Linked DNA regions of Schizosaccharomyces pombe. The gene in region 1 interacts genetically with each later gene. Each region holds a gene or a part of one and is shown on either strand. Other genes may lie near its edges.

Evidence for each region. Genes that interact genetically often act in the same process or in processes that back each other up.
Region 2: of sap1 (region 1) and swi1, extra expression of one rescues a mutant of the other (dosage rescue), as found in Schizosaccharomyces pombe (one study listed by BioGRID).

The regions. Positions count from the first base shown.
Region 1 is NC_003421.2:561,009-565,817, forward strand, and holds sap1 (switch-activating protein Sap1), read right to left. Parts: upstream 2,759-4,809; 5' UTR 2,110-2,758; coding exon 1,345-2,109; 3' UTR 568-1,344; downstream 1-567. Other genes in the region: SPOM_SPCC1672.01 (histidinol-phosphatase), read left to right, coding at 1-269. UniProt on the Schizosaccharomyces pombe protein: Binds to sequences required for mating-type switching. Makes a simultaneous contact with both the alpha and beta domains of the switch-activating site SAS1.
Region 2 is NC_003423.3:908,780-916,748, forward strand, and holds the start of swi1 (replication fork protection complex subunit Swi1), read right to left. Parts: upstream 6,001-7,969; 5' UTR 5,815-6,000; coding exon 4,867-5,814; intron 4,851-4,866; exon of another isoform or gene 4,792-4,850; coding exon 2,824-4,791; 3' UTR 2,747-2,823; coding exon of another isoform or gene 1-2,746. Other genes in the region: ATR checkpoint kinase Rad3, read left to right, coding at 1-2,746; TORC1 serine/threonine protein kinase Tor2, read right to left, coding at 6,492-7,969. UniProt on the Schizosaccharomyces pombe protein: Forms a fork protection complex (FPC) with swi3. FPC coordinates leading and lagging strand synthesis and moves with the replication fork. It is required for programmed fork-pausing which is necessary for mating-type switching.

The sequences.
Region 1 (4,809 bases):
AAGGATGGAAGACTGCGTATCCTCAGCAACGACTTCTTGAGCTGATGGTTGAACAAGGAGCGCAACTCACTTTATCTGACGATAGTCATGGACCACATCAAGTTGGCTTGAATTATCATTTGGCCAAGTCGTATCTGGACAAATGCGGTATTACAAGCCTCTGTATGATAGAAAAGGGCCCCGATGGTAATGGCACGGTGGTTAAAAATGTTACGGTCGACAATGTTTGGTCTAAATTCGTTGGCACAAACGGAATAACTAACACATAGAAGTAATACAGTTTAAATTTGTTTCCGTATTGGGGCCATTTTTGGACTTGAAATTTTTTTACAAGGGAAATTCAAAAGTACACTGTTTGGTCACCTGAAGTATAGTAACTAGCTATTCACCATATTTCAATCACTTCGTATGAAATGGCCGGCAAAGCTTTTGTTGTGGTGGATGATGATCCCATTTATGAGGAGCTCCCGTTTAACAAGACTGTTTGTTTTACACGAGTACTACGATGTCTCAATATTTGTTCCACTTGCACATGAACTATCGATTGCTACGATACATAGATTTCTGTCGCTTAAAATTGTATTAATTGTACATTAACTCAATTGAGTAGGCCGACTAATGGCCAACACTACTGAAACCAATTTAAGGGAAAAAACTATTCTAAATAAGAGATAACCATGATGTGACGTTACAAGCAAAGCATGGGTGGGACCATTGGGCTTTCGTCAAGCTTCAACCGAAAGTGCAAGGAGGATTGCTTGCAAAACATATGACAGTACCTGTTTCAAGCTTGTTTGAAGGGAAGAACGATAGTCGTACGAAATTGGGATAAAGCACGAAAGCAAAAAGGACAACGAATTAGTGCGAAAGGGAAAGAGGGCAAAGGCAAATAGCGGTGGAAAGCGAAAACAAAGCAATCACCGAAACTGTTTGAAGGAGGACAAAAAATAAAAAAAAACAAAGAATTTAATATGTCCGGATTGAAAGAAAAAAAAATCAATATTAGTTTAATAACGGAAGAGACAAGAAAATGCGGAGAAAATAGAAGCAACCCAACTAGCGCACATACAGAAAGGCTTCGTTGCCTTTTTATTTGGAAAGGGGCAAAGATACCTACGAGGAAGGAAGTAACCAGCTTTACCGAATGATTCGCCTTGCACACAACTAGGAAGAGGGAGAAATGAAAGATATTTACATCAAGCAGACCGTCAGTCAAAAGTAAAGAAGAAAAAAAATTTATATTCAACCGCTCAACATAAGTTAAACAAGGATTGAGAACGAAATTCTCGAAGAAAAGAGGTTGTGTGTTCACAGGTAGGAGGAGGATGGGCGGAAAAGTTGGGATTAATGGTCACCAAGATTAGGAGAGATGCTAGAATGGAGACCGCCACGAATGGCATTCATATTAGCGCCCATGTTGGCACCCATATTAGTGCCCATGTTAACGCCATGGGGAGCGTAAGCAGAGGGAGGCTCGAGCTTGGACAACAAATCGTTATGATCGAGAAGTTGTTGAAGGCGCTTATTTTCGGCAAGAACTTCATCCATTTTAGCATTTACCTGCATTAATTTTTCCTCATTATCGTGAAGATGTTTGGAGAGAAAGTTGACCTTGGCGACAAGCATGTCGACGTTTTGTTGCTCTTCAGTGAGCTTCTTGAGACGTTCATTAATTTCATCATTGCAATCACACTTGCGCTTGCCAACCAAGAATTTTTCGCGATACTGTTGGAGCTCGCTGAGACGGGCCTTCCATTCATCGCAAAGTTGGTCGAGCTCATCCTCTTCGGGAGTGGTCTTCATGCCGGGTTGACGATGGGCCAAACGCTGTTCGTAGACGCGCATGATGGAGATGATTTGATTGCGACAGGCGGACTCGGTATGAATAGCGAGGCCCTCGTCCTCATAACCGATACGGGCGATCTTGGCGTAAAACTCACTAGTTTTACGGTCGACGAGTTCGTGCTTGTGACGCACGACTAAGCGCATGAGCTTGATTTTTTCCTCCAAGGACAAGTGAGTACGCTGTGCCTTGGCGGGAGAGGAACTGGGAGATAACGAAGCATTCTTTCGTTTATAGCTCTTCAGTTCCATCTTGGGAGCTTCCATAGAAAATAGGGGATCCGTCTTGAATAATTTATAGGTGGAATTTGGATTCGATTGTCCGAAATCCAAATTGCCGCTAGGGGAAGAGTGGTGTATAGTTAAAAAAAAAAAAGAGAAAAGGAAAGGAAAGGAAAAGTTGTCGCAGAAAGCTTTTGCTTTGGATATAAAAGGAGAAGGATGAAAATCGACCTTTTATAGAAGAAAAGCTAAGTGAGAGGAGGAGAAAAACGAGACGAGATGGAAAAGCAATCGAATCGTATAGGAGGAACTAACAAGATAGTAAGTATACTATGTACTAGACGAACAGTATAAAAGCAAGGTAAAAAAACAGAGTCGAGTCGAGTCAAGTTAAGCTAAGCTAAGCAAAAGAAAACAAAGCAAAGCAAAACAGGAGAAGAGTATATAGTAGAATAGAAGTTTGTAGTAGAGGTGAAAAGACGCTTCCAGTCGTAGACAAGTAGAGCCAAGCTGATCTGACTGGTGAGTCAACACAAGTAGAAGAGGTAAGAGAGGTTTTCCAACAAAGGCAGGGCAAAGCAAAACAGAGGAAAGCAATGCAAACCGATTTTGAATGAAATTATTTAAGGATCTGAACGAAGGCAAGTCCTACACGACACTGCAATACGATGGAGAGTGTGTTGGAGGTGTTGGTAAAGCGTTCGTTGGGATGCGCAGCGAGGTAAATAAGATCGAGTGCCACCAAAACGCAGGCACGGTCGGTAATGATGACATACGGTATCGCTGGTAAACGGTCACAACGAGGGATGGGGAGAGAGCCAATGAAAGCGAGGAATAAGGAGGGGCGCCACATCTGGAACGTGCGATAGCGATGAGAATGGAAAGACTAGCAACGATGGTGGCGTCATGTGGATTGCGTATTATTGGATAAGGAGGTGCTGATTTGCCGGCTCCCAGGAGCGGAATTAGTGAGATGGAAGAGTGGGTGGAAATGTGAAGATAAGAAAAGATTGCACAAACGAACAAACCCAACGTTCCAGTGGGTTAGGGGAGTGATGAAGGGGGGGAAGAGGGATGCCCGCAGAGTAAAGCAAGGAGGGAGAGGGAGGGTATTAGAGGAGATAAGGAGATGAATCATAGCGTTGTAATTGGAATAAGGAAGTGAATCAAGTGTAGTAATTAGAATAAGGATAAAAATCACTTTGTAGTAATTAGAATAAGCATGTAAATTACATTGTTGTAATTGGAATAAGGAAATAAACCACAGTATAATAATTAAAATAAAGTATGTTGAAACTTTTTTTTTCTTATTCTTAACATTCCTTATTGTGCGCTTTTCTCTTTCCTTTTCTACTCTAGGGCTTTCTTCCATACACTTTTTGCAGTGTGGACATTCATTCGATTGCAGTATGGTCGCCACTTTTATAGCAGAGAAAAAGAAAGAGAAATAATAGAATAAATAAAAGAAAAGAAAATAAAAATACAATCAAGATCAAGTATTTTTTTTATTTTTTTCTTTCTTTTCTTTCCTTTCTTTTCTTTTATTTAAACATTGTTAGACCACACTTTGTTTCACCTAAATGCATCATTGCTAGCAATCGACAAAAGTTGCTGTAAGCATTTATGAATATTGGTTGATCATTCTGATTTTCAAGAGTTTCATTGAGTAATCTGAGGTCGACCCTTGAAATGTATGGTGTTGAGTCTGTATGGATTGCTAGAATTGTTGGTACCATTCGAATTGTTTCTACCTTGTTGCAACGAAACAAAACTTGGAGGGGGAAGCAAACGAAAAAGAGAGTAGGAAGGAGTGCAGTAAATGAATAGGGATGTAGAGGGAGAGACAGTAAAAGACGACATAGAGAGGCAGTAACCCGAATAAGGCTTTAGAAAGAGTATACTAAAAATAAATAAGACTATAAAAAAAGTGCAGTAAAAAATTAAGAACTTGGAAAGAGTCAGTAAACCGATTAAGAATCTAGAGGGAGAGCAGTAGAAAGAGTTTTGATAGAAACTAAATGATTCAACTCGCACACATATATATATGTAAAGTAAAATATACAGAGTGTGAAATGATTTACATGAAAACACTTGTTGGGTATTGTAATAAAAAACAATTCGCAGGTAAACAAAGAATAACTAAGAATCAAATGAGCCACAAGTTTTCTATTTATTTAATTTTAACTTGTTTTTTGTCTGACAACAATATTATTTTCATTTATTTACTTGTTTGTTCAAATTGTTGTAAACAAAGACTAATTTAGTGATTACTCTGGGTGAAAGAATGAGCAATGCAAAATAAAAAAATAAATAGAAAATAAAAAAAATAAAATAAAAATAAAATTGATAATTAAAAATATAAAAAATAAAATTAGGAAAATAAAATTAGGAAAATAAAATCTTGAAAAAATTCACTTTATAAAAAAAAAAAAAAATCAAACTAGAATGCATTTTGTAAAGGTCTTGTATTTGTCATCTCTTCAACACTGCAAACGTCGCTTCAGCATTTTCCCTGTATTCTACCTGAAAAAACAGTATATACAAAATTCCGCCCTATCAAACACATCGTATCCTCTACAATATCTCTACTTGGCTCTTTTCCACTTTAACATTACAATCTTTCTGCTGCTTGCACATTTAATATTTCTATCTTATTTCGTTAAACGATCATGAACCAAAAATACAACAAAGCGTGCTTCCAACACAAGACATGCTTCTAACGCAAAGCGTACTCTAACAAACGTG
Region 2 (7,969 bases), on another chromosome or scaffold:
TATTATTCAAAAGGATCCTGAAAATAAAAAGGCGAAAATCGGTTTGCTTAACAGCATGCTGCAATCGGGGCATTATGAATCTCTTGTTTTGAGTTTAGATTCTTTTATAATCAATGACAACCACGAGTATTCGAAGATGTTAAATTTGGGTATTGAAGCTTCATGGCGTTCGCTATCTATTGATTCGTTAAAAAAGTGTCTTTCAAAAAGCAACTTGGAATCTTTCGAAGCTAAATTGGGTAGCATATTTTACCAATACCTACGGAAGGATTCTTTTGCTGAATTGACGGAGCGGCTGCAACCCTTGTACGTTGATGCTGCTACAGCAATTGCAAACACAGGCGCCCATTCAGCCTATGATTGTTATGATATTTTATCTAAGCTGCACGCAATTAATGACTTTAGTAGGATTGCTGAAACTGACGGAATTGTTTCCGACAATCTTGATATTGTTCTTCGCCGTCGGCTTAGCCAAGTAGCTCCGTACGGTAAATTCAAGCACCAAATCCTGTCCACTCACTTAGTTGGCTATGAAAAATTTGAAAACACGAAGAAAACTGCTGAAATATATCTCGAGATTGCAAGAATATCTCGAAAAAATGGTCAATTTCAAAGAGCCTTCAATGCCATCCTCAAAGCAATGGATTTAGATAAACCGCTAGCAACAATAGAGCACGCACAATGGTGGTGGCATCAAGGGCAACATCGTAAAGCTATTTCTGAATTGAATTTTTCGCTTAATAACAACATGTTTGATTTGGTTGATGAGCATGAAGAAAGACCTAAAAATCGTAAAGAAACTTTAGGAAATCCACTTAAAGGAAAAGTGTTCTTGAAACTTACAAAATGGCTCGGAAAAGCTGGCCAACTGGGATTGAAGGATTTGGAGACGTATTATCATAAAGCGGTAGAGATTTACTCAGAATGTGAGAATACGCATTATTATCTTGGCCATCATCGAGTTTTAATGTATGAAGAAGAACAAAAGCTCCCAGTTAATGAACAGAGCGAACGATTTTTAAGTGGTGAGTTAGTAACTCGCATAATTAACGAATTTGGTCGATCTTTGTACTATGGTACAAATCATATATATGAAAGTATGCCAAAATTGCTCACACTGTGGCTTGATTTTGGGGCCGAAGAACTTCGCTTATCTAAAGATGACGGCGAAAAGTACTTTCGTGAACACATTATCTCTTCGAGAAAAAAATCTTTGGAACTTATGAATTCGAATGTTTGTCGCCTTTCTATGAAAATTCCTCAATACTTTTTTCTGGTTGCATTATCCCAAATGATATCCAGAGTATGCCATCCAAATAATAAAGTTTATAAAATTTTGGAACATATAATTGCAAACGTTGTAGCATCTTATCCTGGGGAGACGCTATGGCAATTAATGGCAACAATAAAATCGACTTCTCAAAAGCGCTCGCTTCGTGGAAAAAGCATTTTAAATGTTTTACATTCTAGGAAGCTTTCTATGTCTTCCAAAGTTGATATAAAAGCACTCAGTCAATCTGCAATTCTCATTACTGAAAAGTTAATCAATTTGTGCAATACAAGGATTAACAGTAAATCTGTAAAAATGAGCTTAAAGGATCATTTTCGGCTTTCTTTTGATGATCCGGTAGATTTAGTCATTCCTGCTAAATCATTTTTAGACATTACTTTACCAGCTAAAGATGCTAACAGAGCTAGTCATTATCCATTTCCAAAAACTCAGCCTACTCTGTTGAAATTTGAGGATGAGGTGGATATAATGAACTCTCTTCAAAAACCAAGAAAAGTGTACGTTAGAGGTACGGATGGCAACTTATACCCATTCTTGTGCAAACCCAAAGATGATCTTCGTAAGGATGCTAGATTGATGGAATTTAATAATCTTATTTGTAAAATATTGAGGAAAGATCAAGAAGCGAACAGAAGGAACTTGTGTATTAGAACTTATGTTGTTATTCCTTTAAATGAAGAATGCGGATTTATCGAATGGGTAAATCATACTCGTCCATTTAGAGAAATTTTGTTAAAAAGCTATAGACAGAAAAACATTCCCATATCATATCAAGAAATCAAAGTTGATTTAGACTTTGCACTGCGAAGTCCTAACCCTGGTGATATATTTGAAAAGAAAATCTTACCGAAATTTCCTCCAGTTTTTTATGAGTGGTTTGTTGAATCTTTCCCAGAACCAAATAATTGGGTTACTAGTAGACAAAACTATTGCCGAACTTTAGCAGTAATGTCAATAGTTGGCTACGTTTTGGGTTTGGGAGATCGCCATGGCGAAAACATATTGTTTGATGAATTTACAGGTGAAGCTATCCATGTCGATTTCAACTGTCTTTTTGATAAAGGTCTTACTTTTGAAAAACCTGAAAAGGTGCCGTTCAGATTAACTCATAATATGGTAGATGCAATGGGTCCGACAGGTTATGAAGGGGGTTTCAGGAAAGCTAGCGAAATAACGATGCGGCTTCTTCGCTCAAACCAAGATACATTGATGAGCGTACTAGAGTCTTTCCTACATGATCCTTTAGTCGAGTGGAATAGAAAGAAGTCGTCAAGCAAGTACCCGAATAATGAAGCAAATGAAGTTTTGGATATAATTCGCAAAAAATTTCAAGGCTTTATGCCAGGGGAGACGATACCTTTATCTATTGAAGGGCAAATTCAAGAATTGATCAAATCTGCTGTCAACCCAAAAAACCTGGTAGAAATGTACATTGGTTGGGCTGCTTATTTCTAGCATTTTACTAACAAAAATTTCAATGAACAAGCTACCCATTATTAAACTTATGATTTGAATCGAAGATATTTTATTTATTAATCCGATGAAGAATTCTCGCTGAGTTGTTCAATTTCTTGTAATTTTCCTTCCATTTCTAAATCGTCGATTCGCTTAAATAGGGCACTGGCTTTTTGTGCATTTTTCTCTCGTAAAGCAGCTTCTGATTGAAAAAAAGCTATATCTGTTTCTGAGTCATCATCCGAATCAACAATATATTTTGCAGATCGTAAATGGTTTTCCTTTTTCTTTCGAGTTGTATGGTCAATAATAGTTTCGTTAGTTTTCATCTTTTTACGTTTTCTGTCAGTAATCTTATTTAACGCTTCTCGACGATTGGCGAAAGTTATAGGATCATCTGCTTCAAATTCAATTTCTTCGTCAGATGTTTCACCCTCACTACTTGATGGTAAACGAACATTTCCTCTTTGCTTCCTCACTAATAAATCTTCGGGCTTGGTGCCTTCAAACGTCGGCGGATCATCAGTAAACCTTCTCAACAACATGGCATGCTCAACAAGTTCATCAATTATAACAGAATTTGGTAATTTCCATAGTGCTTGAACGTCTATATTGTTATCTGATTCTTCGAATCCACATAATTCTAATAATAGACGAAATTTTCCGTCTTTCAAAAGGGCCGTATTAAATGAATCTGTGTCTCCTTTCAAATTCTTCCCCATTCTTTCACCATCATTTCCACCTTCATTTATATATTTGTTCTCGTCAGCTAGCGTTATTAGCTTTCTTTCTGAAATGAGGCAATTAAGTTGAACTTTCAATTCATCTAATAAATCACTTTTGTTTTCATTTATAAGGCATGCAACAACGGCAGCCACCTTTTCCAAATGTGATAAGCCAGGCACCGTCTCGTATAACGGGCCTTTTCTCGAACCATGAATAGAGAAAAGTGGACTTTTTCCATATTCCAGATAATAAAATGTGTCGGTTAATTTTGGGAAAGGCAACTCAATAAAAAGTGCTGGTACATCTTTTAATGCATCTGAAAGCTTTCGCATATAATATACAAAAAATTGTTCAAAATCCTGTCTTGCTGAATTTGTAGTAGAAAAATAGACATGGTCATTAAACATTTTGTCCAGAACACGTAGGAAATCGAGACGATACAAATAAACATGGCATTTTTGCTTCACGAAAATGCGGTAAAAAAAGGAAATAGCCCTATGAATTTGTTTTGAATCCAGATCTTGGTAACATTGAAGGAACAGCACGAAACTATCAATACATCCATTATCACAGTACCTAGACTCATATCTGCCGAAATCAAACAGACGGTCCTCAACGGCTGCATTAGCATTAATCAAGCTGCTTTCTTCATCTTCATCCGATTCCAAGACATTGCTATCAACAGATTTCTGATTTCTCCTTCTCTTTTTCACATAGAGATATTGTTTAGCACTGCTAAATTTCTCAAGCTCCTTTAATAGCACTATAGTTAGCTCAGTTATTGCATCTAAATACCCAAAGGACTGAGTTTTAAAATGCTTTAAAGCGCTATAAACAAGTAAAAGAATTTCCTCTTGGTAAAAGATATTGCTTAGTAGATTATCGGCAATTCTTTGGTAAATTTCTGAGGAACAAAGTGTCATACTTCGAAGAGTGAAAAGTAATTGAGTCATCGAAAGCATGGATGCTTGGAAGGTGCTCCATTGTTTCATTTCAAAGGATTCTACCATTAACCTGTTGTGCATAATCAAAGCTCGTTGGTCAAAAACGGAGGCTGCTAAGCCAAAACTATAATCATTAGAGTAAATTTCTTCTGTTTTTTTTGGTTTAGACGAAAATCTCATGAATTCCAAAAAAAATGACTGAACGTATAATAATTGCATTTTATGAATTGGAAGCACACGAGGATCTTCTCTTTCCAAGTCTTTTAAGAGAGACTGAAATAATGGATTGAATCCAGCTTCCAAAAATTCGACAGCAAAGTTCCTTAATGCAGTACCTGCCTCGGTATTGATAAAGAACGATTTGTTTATGTCATCCTAATATTGTTAGAATAGAATAGTTGAATTGGAAAAAAAAATTTAAACAAACATCGTGTTTAACTAAGTACATACAAAATGTTTTCGACGTGTTCCTCGTTTTCGAAAACGCTTATGAGAGTCAAGCTCATCAAGGCCGTCGGTTTTTATATTTTGGCTAGCAATAGTAAATCTTCTGTCTTCAGTTTGAACAGAAAGCATGGTTCCAAATCTATTATGCCTCGTATGTGCATTTCGTTTCAAATAGCGATTTTGGGTCGACTCTTTGAGGAGTAAGCTATTAAGTTCGGTTTGAGAGTTAGTCAATGAGGCATCAGAGAAAAGGGCTGATGGCTTACAACCTCTGATCAAGTTGTAGACTATTTCTAATATGTAAACATCAAAATGCTCAAATTCATCGAGATTCGAGACCAGTGTGACAATCAAATCTAATATATGAGCTTTCGCAAACGAGATAATTGTTTCATTTTTTGTTTTTAATTCATCGATTTGAAGAATGTTTCGAAATAGTAACAGCACTATCCTGATTATTCCCTTGTCTCTAAGTGTTCTGGATTCTGCGGGAGTACTTAAGGGCTTTAGTAAAACAGCTAAAATGGCGGATAAAACGCTCCCCTTCTTGTAAGATAAAATTGAATTTTTATAATTTGATTGAGCTTGACGCAGATTATAGAGAACATCAACATTTTCTCTGAATGTTTCATGCTCAGTCTCCAAAGGCCATGTTAATGGTACAAGAAGCTCAACACAAGCTAAAGCGATACGCCAGTTTCTGTAATTAGTAATGTCTTTATCCCAGTCAGAGAGTATTGGACATATATCATTAGTTACCAACTGTAAGCTCGAGAGCAAAGATCGAATTTGCCAAACTTTGTACTTTTCATCGACTACTTGAAGATAGCGCTTCAGATCCTTTAGGCAAGCCAAAGCTTCATCACCAAGAACGTACACTTTTTCATCGTCTGAATAGTCAAATCCTCCAATGGCAGAAACAATGCCTTGAATCACCTCATCTAATTCCATTCAAGTTGATTTGTTAAATCAAAAGCTCTCAAGTTCCTTTTTTTTGTATTGTCGGTATGCGTCGATAAATAAACCAAATTTAAGAAATTAAATAAATTTTAATAATTAAGCGATATTAATTATGTTCATGAATAATCGTATTCTTTTAAGATAAGTAAATTTGATTGTAGATACGTGAAGAGGGGTGGTGACAGTAAACAATGAATAATAAATTTTTAAAACAATATTTAACTTTTCAAAATAACTTGGATTTTTAAAAAAATGTGTGTAAAGTAAAACACTTTATAATTTAAATCGCATTAAAATGGCATTCAGTATTATATTATAAAATTCGATAATATGGACTCAACAAAACGAATTTGCTACCTAACTTGTACAATGCATAATTAGAATTTAGTTTCAATAATTTTCACAATTTCAGATGTAGAAATTTAGAGTTTATTATTTTCAGAATGATTAAGCAGCAAATCTTTAATAACAATATAAAGAGATGCATTCTCTACTACAAAATTCTAAAAATTCTGCGTCAAATTCAACATTTCCTCTATTTTGTAAAATTGTAAAACAACGTAATAAATTGTTACAGGACTCATTCATAAAGACTATTTACACTTTATTTAATATAGAATATATATATGATGCGGCAGAAAAGCAATTTGAACGTTTGGGACTGTCACCTACCAGAAACTACACCAGCCAATATAGCACAAGCATAGGTTCTCTATAGAGGTTGCTTGTAAAATCAGCTTCTCTACTTGACTTGGTACATCCAATTGCTGTTGGGGTTTGAAATCCCGACCAGTAAGTTTATTGGACACACGATTAAGAACGGTTATAGCTCTTTGATTGAGTATCTCGGGTTTTTGACGTTCTTCAAGTGTAATTCCTTCTTCGTTTAAGCGTTTCCGGTGTAAACCATCAATTGTCTCACCGAGAAGTGTATTAGGTTCGTTAGATTGCTTTTCATCGATAGAAGGTGAATATGCAGGAGCAAGGCGCCAGTTAATAAGAGGATCGTAAACGAAAGCTTCTAAAACTGCCATCACAGACTCCTTATTAGTACGAAGAACTCGCATAACATGTTCGCATGTTATCCGGAACGTCCCCTCTATACCACTAACTTCCATTGCGTTAACAAGCATTCGCGTAAGGCGGAAAGGAATCTTCTCGGGAAACTTTTCTCGATGCATTGCTACTTCAAAACAATCTCCAAAATCGATATGGATGATATTACCTGTATACCTGTCCAGCATCAAATTGGAAGGATGACGATCGCCCAAACCTAAGATGTACCCTACCATTGACATCACCGCAAGAGTACGAGAATAGTTAGTTCGCCTATTAAGCCAAGCTTCTGAGCTACGACTCTTCAGCCATAAAACGCGGTATAAATCCTGCCCCGTAGTACTAAGTAGGGCATATTCAAAGACTTCAACTTTCTGAAGGAGAGTGAGACGATCGTAATCTGGAGCCATCTGAATGATCAACCTATGTTCTATGTTGAGTAAAATCTTTCTGCTTTCTCTGTAGTCACGAATTAAGACATGCAAAGTATCGCTATCCAAAACCCAGCCTAAAAGGCCTGAATCCGGTGATAAAGGAATCACTGGATACCTTTGGATTGAAAGTAAGCGCTTAAAAGTTTCCGGGTCAGCTAGTAACAGATTGTTACAAAGCCCAAATAGCTGCATAACACGTTCATCTTGTCTGATGTCCTCGTGACCCTTTAAAACATATTGATAATCTTTTCCATCACTGCCTTTAATACTCAGTCGTCTCGGACGTTGCTTAGATGTTATCACGTTGAATGTAGGGTAAAACTTTACAATTCTTATAACAGGTTTCCCGCTAACGTATGTTCCCGGAACAGCTAACTCAAGATCATGTACATGTAAGAGTTTAGGAGAAACGTATTGTAAATCTAATGTTGTCAACTGAGGTAGCTGTTTACGAATTTTCTTGAAAACTTGGTAATATAAGTCCCAGGCCTGATTTAAGTCTGATATATCACCAGTTTGCTCAAAACGGATACAACAATCCCTTGCTTCGACTAAGTCACGTCCAAAGGCTTGTTGGAAAGAAATTTCACGAAGCGTTTCCGGACCACGTTCCAACATTTCATGCAATGGTCTCAACACGGCAAACATACCCTCAA